Bombyx mori: one gene and its partner. The protein of the gene in region 2 purifies or fractionates together with the protein of the main gene of each other region. This does not show direct contact. Links are inferred from orthologs where the notes say so. Each region holds a gene or a part of one and is shown on either strand. Other genes may lie near its edges.

Region 1 (4,433 bases), on a different chromosome or scaffold from region 2:
TTAGTCTGTGTCTTAAATATTAATAGTATATTATCTGGACTTTTAGACTATGCCTATGGTGGCAGGACCTCTTGTGAGTCCGCGCGGATAGGTACCACCACCCTGCCTACTTCTGCCGTGAAGCAGTAATGCGTTTCGGTTTGAAAGGTTGGGCAGCCGCTATAACTATACTTGAGAACTTAGACTTATATCTCAAGGTGGGTGGCGCATTTACGTTATAGATACCTATTTATGGGCTTCAGTAACCACTTAATACCAAGTAAGCTGTGAGCTCATCTAACCATGTAAGGAATAAAAAAAAAACTTTTCGGCGGGAAGGCGAGGAGTGGAGTTGTGTGATTTGTTTTATTTTGTCTATTTAGTGTTTCTTCAGATTTAAATGTGTAATAACGGTGGTTTATTAACTGTTTAATATCTGTCAAAGGGCACAAATGTGGAAAAATGAAACAAAGCCGCTAGACGTAGCTTCTCGGGATCCTCCAAAAAGTCCACTGAAAACGTCTCAGTAAATGAACACCATTTTACCGAGATTATATTTCATCTCATATCATCTTATATCTTTTCATTTCGTGCCATACCATGTTTTATATTAATCAACTTCATTTCATTTCACTTCATATTATCATTTTTCATAAAATTAAGAATATAAATTAAAATAAGACATGACTTAAAGGTCTTAGTTAACAGGTCATAAAATCTCTTAAAAAAAAAAAAACTTCAGAGTAGACGTGCGCTAATCATGTTCGGAACTGGATTGAACATGACATCGTTCTTTTGAGTGTCGGAACTAGTTCCAGTAAACATGTTCGCGGAACTGTTTAGTTTCACGAACATGTTAAGTCTAGTAGCTGTTTGTAGTTTGTAGCTGTTTAGTTCCGCGGACATATTAAGTCTAGTAGCTGTTTGAAGCTGTTTAGTTCCGCGGACATGTTAAGTCTAGTAGCTGTTTGTAGTGTAGTGAATCACGTATTAAGTTATTATTAATTACACAATATTTTTCAAAAAAGGTATTAAAAAAACAATTTTTTAAAAGCACTATATAAAAATAGATTGCCGCTTATGGCAATTATTATTGTAATTATTATTTTGTAAGGTTTTTAGTTTTAGGTTCATTGTTACAGCTGGTTGCATAATTTATTAATGTACTGTAATTACTTTGTCATAATTTCAACTACTCTACTACTTTCATTATTTTTCAATGTAGGTATTGTACGATGCACCGAAAACTATAACCTATCAGTTGTTAATTAAAATACCACGTTATTCTGATATACAACGTAAATTGAGCTCGTTGTAGCCTTACAACCTTTTTCCCATAACCGAGATACCGAATAGCGAAAGTGGTGAATGTTTTAAAATTCTCGAATTTTGAATTATGATTTTCTAAGAAATGGTCTACAAACACTTAAGGTTAAGTGCTCGTAGGAATGATGCATGGTCAAGGTCAAAATCCATAGCAAAACATTTTAATTTAATCAACTATCGACTGTAACACGTAGGTCGTAGAGCATAACTTCAATATTAATAAAAATGTAATATGAAAGAGCTCCACACGCAGTTTCATGCACTCGCTCCATCTCACTCTCTCGTATTCGTGCCATATGTCGCCTTATCTCTTTACGTGGACTCGTGTCGGTTCGAGACTCGTTCGGGTGGACTCGCCGCGCCACGCCTCCGCGCCGCGCGGTACCTATGCTCTAATCATGTCCGCATGTCCGTCATGTTCAACGCGTTCGTAGTTCCTGCATAACAGTACACTTGGAATGGAAATGGAACTGTCTGAACATGTTAATTTTGACAAGTCGGATTGAATGATATAGTTCCATATGAGGACATAGTTCCAGGAACTATTTAGTTCCGGAACTACGCATGTCTACTTCAGAGTTCAGAAAAGAATTGATAGGTAACTTAAATTAACTGTTTACTGTTTGAATGAATTTGTATTTATAATGGATGAAAATAAGTCAGAGAGCTTAAATTCTATAAAGAACATAATCTTAGATGAGCGGCGTTTAGTGACATACACATCCATTAGTAAAGAATTGTGCATTCATGTAAATAAGGCGAAAATATTTTTGAGAGAATTTGTTGATGAATTGAGAAAGAACAAGCCGAATGTTGGTCTTTCAGTCAGCTACATTATCTCGGGATCCTTAAAAAACAATAAACTTCTAACTATTCTTGTACTAGAAGAAGAATTAGTAAGCGTGAAAGACAAATTCAGTACAATATTCTTTGAGCATATTTATAGTGTATGCTACGGCCATTGTACAAGTATAGATAAATCAGCATTTATAGCTATAAACACCTTCGAAGATTATTTGTTATGTAAAGGTACAGTCAAAAACAATATTTGTTCAAAGAGATCTTATGAAGAAATAGGCACTTTAAAATTTAAGAGCCAGGAAGTACCCGAGAAAAATCTGAAAAACTCCATAAAGAAAGATTCGAAAAACAGTATTAAAGAAGAAAATCACAATACACAGAATGAAGTGAAAACTATTAAAGATCATGATAAGAAAACAGATCCTGTAAAATCTGAAATTCCATCACCAAAGTACAATTCTGTTACTAACAATAAATCTCTTGATAAAAAAAGTAATGGAAAGTCTAATGGGAATATAATGGGATTTTTATCAAAAACACCAAATGTTAAAATGGATATTAACAAGAAAGATAAGGGAGATATTGAAAACAAAACAAAAATAACAAAAAAATTTGATAGAGAAGAAACAAACATTGATGATAGCTCTAAAACCAATGGAACTGAAATTAAATTGACAGAGAAGAAGTCAGTAAATAGTATAATCGCACAAAAAAATGAAGCATCAACTCAAAAAAAAGACATCAAAGTGGAGAAAATAGATATTGAAGTTAAAGTAAGAAATAAAAAAACTAACCAGGGGAATTCTTTTGGAAAGAAACGCAAAAGAGTATTGCATGTTTCTGATAGTGATAGTGATTGTGAAAAATCAGATTCATTGGCAGATGAAATTACTTTGGAACGTGAATCTGAAGATGAAATTCCACCAACTCCATCAGCTACCATTGTTACCATAACACCTGGGCTTGTTAATGCAAAAAAGAGGAGAAAAATCATAGATAAAACTTATACAGATGAAGAAGGATTTATGTTAACCAAAAAAGAAGAAATTTATGAGAGTTGTTCAGATGATGAAGTGCATACAAAAGAGAATGTTGATATTAAAAAACAAGTCACCGTTGAAACCACTGCTCTGAAAAATGTGCCAATAAAGCAATCAAAAAAAAAGTCTTCTCCATCACAAAAACATAAACAACCAACCATGATGAACTTCTTTAAAAAAGTACCAAATTAAATACCATCCTATGTAACCAAATCATGGAATAAAATAATTATACCATCAAGATATAGTGGATGCCAGTTCAATTGTTTTAATAAGGATCCAATTCTCTACGTACATTTATATACTTACAGAATGTAATAGGTTAACCTTCAATAAGCGCAGTTGGCATTATAATTTCTAAAGTTTGTTTAGGTAAATGGAAATAGGGAAGACAAGGTTGAGATAATTCTGCTATCAAATACTCAGTATTTATATAAAAAAGAAAGATAAATCAGTTCAGTGCAATATTTTCCCAGTTACACTGAAAATTTCCTTTTTTAATTTAGTAACTAGTGATGAGCTTTTGTAATATTGTTATCATTAAAAACAATCAGGAAAATTTTTACAAGTTCCACTTTTATACTAAAAAATGACAACAACAAAAGTATAAGTAGGTAGCAAAATTTTAATCTTATTGCTAGTGATGATGTTCTGACTTTGAACAGCAAGTTAGGATCGCTAATACTTACGAGTCATTAATTTCATTATTTCATGCCAATAATTTCCAACAGTTGTAAACCAAATATTAAACAAAAAAAAATATTGCACATACCGACATAATATATTCATGTACAGATATAGTTTGATCCCTCCTGGCTGAGCCCTTGCTTACCTACCTATCCTGGTGAAACTAGGAAAGCCTCCGAGAGAACAGTAATCTTTCAATCGCAAAAAAAAAATGTTTGACAGCTTTGTTAAGGATTATCGAATGTGATCTGAATCAGATAATGTAGATGATTGTAACATCATTATTTTTATACATTTTGATATTATGTTTTCGAATCTTTGCACCCTTGAATTTATTACAGTTACGCTATATATCTGTATAGCCTGTAATTCTGTGGATGGAAGGATTCTTTAAGAACTTATTACACTTGTTTTATGTCATTAACTTTACTGAATTCATTCACACTGCATGCCTGTGTGGTATGTATAAAATGGCCAGCATAAACTCATATTGGTGTGTCTCTACTCAACTACAAGTAAAAATTTATAATTTGATGTTAAATTTTACAGTGTTATTTGCTAATGAAGCTATGTTGGTATACTATTTTTACTGGTGGTAGG
Region 2 (4,353 bases):
AAATAGGATCTTCGGCTTTCATATAAGCAGGTGTATTTTTTGTTGCACAGCATAACACATACGGAACCCTGTCTCCTAATTTCGGTGCAGTTCCCTCATCACGCTTTTTCATTTTCTTAGCAAGTTCTACATGAGCCTGTTTAGCAGCATAATCATTTTTTGTGAGTTCTTTAGTAATAACAAGTTGTGATATATCAATTCGATTGCATAATAAATCAGCTATAATTTGTTTAGCATAATTAATAGCTCCATCTGGGTCTCTGTCTATGAGCAACTTCTGTAAACAAGTGCTCATTACATTAGAAACAAGAGGACAATTGTCTCTTCGAACAGTTTCAATACCCTTGCAATCCATTTTGTCATATTTATCTGGTCTAGTAAAATAAAGGCCAGCATATCGTTTCTTATTAATGAGTAAGTATGGGTAGTATACTTTCTCAAATTCTAATTTTATAGGTTTTACAAACTTTGCTGTAACAAATTCAGCTGCTTCTTTTCCTAATTCCATACTCTCTTCAAGAGTTTTCACTCCAAACTTAACCATTACAGAATCAGTATCTCCATATATAACAACAGCATCTTCTTTATATCCATTAGCTTTAGTGTATTTCTTTTCTACTTCTGACTTAGTGAATTCAATCATAGTTCTGCCATAAGCAGTGACACTACCAGATATTTCTAAGCATGGTAATTTTCCTACTTGAGCACCTGTAAATCCATAAACAGAGTTTGCACTTATTTTCAAAGCCAGTTGTCTACCATCCAGAACTGACCTTTTAAATGGGTCTTTTTCATCCTTCAAGTCTGCCTTTGCTTTTTTTCTTGCTGCGAGTAGTGATTCTAGAATTTCTGGTAGTAGGCCCTTTCTGATGTGATTTTTTACAAACATGTTTTTTGAAGGTGTTATAGTAACATCATTGTCAGCAACATTAAATTGGTTTTGAGCATTAGGGGGAACTAAAGTTGTATAACATAAATTATGTGCCATCATGATGCTCGGGTACAAAGATGCAAAATCTAAGGTTGAAATAGGGTCGGCATAGTATCCTCTTTTGGGTTCAATAACTGTGGCTCCTTCATACTGATCATCAGAACCTTGGCTATGGTATACTGGCATTAAATATCCAGCTTCTTTTGCTTTGCGTAGTAGCTGACTGACAACTTTTATTTGTTGCCCTCTTGTTAGTAAACAAAGTAAAGGAACACCAGTAACTCTAGCCATTTCCATGTGATTAATGATACACATTAATTTGTTTAAAAGTTTTAGTGGGAGGTAAGCATCTTTAAGACAGTACATTGCCAATCTCCTTCTGGTTTGTTCACTTTCATTTTGTAAATCTGTGATTATACTGTGATGCACATCTTCTTTCTGCTCTTGAAGGAAATGGTAACTGACAGCATTCAGAGTATATGACCTTAATTTGTAATCACGAACTAATACCAACAATAAATCAAAAGGAACTCGTCCTTCAAAATTAATGGTTTTATTTTCTCTTCGACCCATCTGTTTCGATTGCAAGACTGTATCTTTTATAACAGATCTTACATTTTTTATTCGTCCCAGAAAATCAAATTTTTGCACATTTAAATGTTTAGCACGATTTATAAGATATGGCCAGTCGAAATTGCTAATATTATATCCAGTAATGATATCAGGATCTAATTTGCGAAAAAAATCAGACCACTTAGATAACATTTCAGACTCTGATTGAAAACTAAGTACTTGTGAACCTACAATAGGAGCACATGTATTCAATGTAAATACGTTTCTTAAATATGGTTCTGTTTCACCTTGTCTTATGACCATGGATGCAATTTGAATTACAGGGTCATGTTTAGCTTCTGGGAAAATACCTTTTCTACCAGCACATTCAATATCAAAACTTAATATTCTGAATGGTGCCACTTTTGACCACTCTCCTTCTGGTGGATGAAATATGAAAGCATTCCATGCCACATCCACTTCAATCTGACATCTAGATTCAGGCTTCACTTTTGAATCTATTGTTCTTAAAAACCACTTCCCAACAGGTAGTTCAATCCAACTGCATCCAACAATTGAAGTATCAACCATGAAACGTATATCAAAATCGATGTTTGTTTCATAAAATTGAGGATCCATCAATCCAAAAGATAGAGGTTGCCTTTCGATCAGTCTTTTGGCAGCAGCAATTAATTTTGGCAGTGCTACTGAAACTCTTGCAAATGTAATATTGGAATCACCTTTGTAATACATAATTGATTTGGCCTGTACTAAACGCACTTCAAGGACACATTCTTTAATATTATCTTTATTCCCTCTTAAATCTTCTAATATTGCTTTGTTAAGATTTGTTTTCATTTCGTTACAAGAAGATTCTGTAAAATTTACTGGTACAGTGACATAAAAATATGGTGTAAAACCATGTACATGACAGCAAACAGAGTTTCCCTCTGAAGTTATCCCGTACATCCTCATTATAGGTACGGGAGCCAATTGGGAGCCAGGCATGCCATTCATTGGTGAGCCATAATAATGATCAATGTCGAGTTGTTGAAATATTAATGTTTCTCGGTTTGGAGTCAGTATAGGCGGTGGAGGACGAGACCATTTCATATTCGAAGATTGATTTTCAGGTCCTTCACCTTCAAATATTTCTTGGCTGTCAATATCACCAGTGTCCATACAAGCCAGTTGTTCTTCGAAACTAAATGGAGTATCGTTTTCATCGTCATCGTCGCCAGATTTAAACCTCTTTGGAGGAGGACCTTTAGTTTTATTCCTGTCCATTTTGTCTGTGTACAATATTGTTTTAATTTAGCTTGCTTTTACGTCCTCGTAATTAACATAGATTAACTACCTAATTGTGCACTGAGATTAACGGGAGATAAATTTAATCTTTCACTTACTTGACATGGAGGTTCTATACCTTTAAATAATATGTAAGCACTACTTTTTAAAATTTAACGTAATTAAGTCAAGATTTTTCAATCAATCTGTAGGATTTAACGCGGGATTTTTTCAATTTAAGAACTGTCAAATATCAGTTCAGTGGTAGTTCTACTTTTTCAACTGGAAAGGCAAAGGTATTATACCATACTGCCTAATCTATACTAATATCTAAATCTACAGTGGTTTTTATGGATGTTCCGTTGTAACTACTAATCCATGCATCCGATTGACTTGAAACTTGGTATCCATGTAGAAAATATTTGTCTGTTATAGTTTTTTATAAAGGCTGCACATAACTTTTAGGACTCTTGCAAAAAGACCACTAAAAAGATGTAAAAAACCTCCATTTTACTAATATTATATTTCATCCCATATCATTTCATTTCAATTCATTTCATGCCTATTGATTAATGTTCCAAATTAATCAACTTCGTTTAATTTCACTTCATATTATCTTTTCTGATCTGATTTTGTACCTGATCTACGCACTAAAGATAGACATTTATTATTTTTAGGATCTCTATTGAAACTCTTTAATATCCCAGGTCTGTAAAATATAGTTGAGACTCAGTTTATGTAGGCGGCGACATTAACGTGGGTGATTTGTATACGCTCTAGTAAACACCTTAATACTAGATGGCTCTTTGGGCCCTCTACGACAGAATGAATAACATAGACTGAAATATCTTTAGAATTTATTATTTGTATTCGCAAATGCGGCGCAAGTTTGAATTGCAGAAGCCTACCCGTGTTTTAAAATTTCAGTATATTATTCATTATGTTTATAAAAACGTATGTTTATTATAATGGATACTAATCACTTCTGTTCGTGCTCGTTCGACCATTATCACTGAAAAAGAAAATCATTTAGAACATAGTGAAGATAATGCTAGGTCCTAAACATTAAACTATAATAATATATGTAACAGAATACAATTAAATGAAAAGTATTATTTTCTACTAATTAATTGCTTGGAAGTAGTTACATTACTTAAAAACATTTTACACCAGAAATTCAATAGATAAGGTCTGCGGGATATGTTGTAAGTACGGCGAACTCTTCGTCGCATTCAAAGAGAACGGTGACCGATACTTAGAACGCACTTTGAGAGGGCGGCACGACATAAAAAGCATCTTGTCGTGGCCGCTGGAAACTATATACCCGACCCTGTAGACCGAAAAAAAAACACGTCATTAGATCCTTCCGATCCATTAATGGTGCTTTTAGGTACACAAGCACCGGTCACCGTCATGGCCGAACCTGTCGCTTGCGACGAAGGGCTCGACGAGCGAATTAACCCATAAACACAGCCCACTGAGTTTCTCGCCGGATCTTCTCAGTGGATCGCGTTTCCGATCCGGTGGTAGATTCTGTGAAGCACTGCTCTTGCTAGGGTCATCACTCACTCCGGTTTGAGCCC

The links.
Region 1: the proteins of DNA polymerase delta catalytic subunit (region 2) and DNA polymerase delta subunit 3 purify together in Homo sapiens (co-immunoprecipitation; 8 studies listed by BioGRID and IntAct, with this or other methods). This does not show direct contact. The link is inferred for Bombyx mori from reciprocal best matches to the Homo sapiens genes POLD1 and POLD3.

What each region holds. Positions count from the first base shown.
Region 1 is NC_085112.1:7,020,287-7,024,719, reverse strand, and holds the start of DNA polymerase delta subunit 3, read left to right. Parts: upstream 1-1,462; 5' UTR 1,463-1,949; coding exon 1,950-3,338; 3' UTR 3,339-4,433. UniProt on the Homo sapiens protein: Accessory component of both the DNA polymerase delta complex and the DNA polymerase zeta complex.
Region 2 is NC_085116.1:10,632,136-10,636,488, reverse strand, and holds the start of DNA polymerase delta catalytic subunit, read right to left. Parts: upstream 3,045-4,353; 5' UTR 2,897-3,044; coding exon 2,890-2,896; intron 2,825-2,889; exon of another isoform or gene 2,776-2,824; coding exon 1-2,775. UniProt on the Homo sapiens protein: As the catalytic component of the trimeric (Pol-delta3 complex) and tetrameric DNA polymerase delta complexes (Pol-delta4 complex), plays a crucial role in high fidelity genome replication, including in lagging strand synthesis, and repair.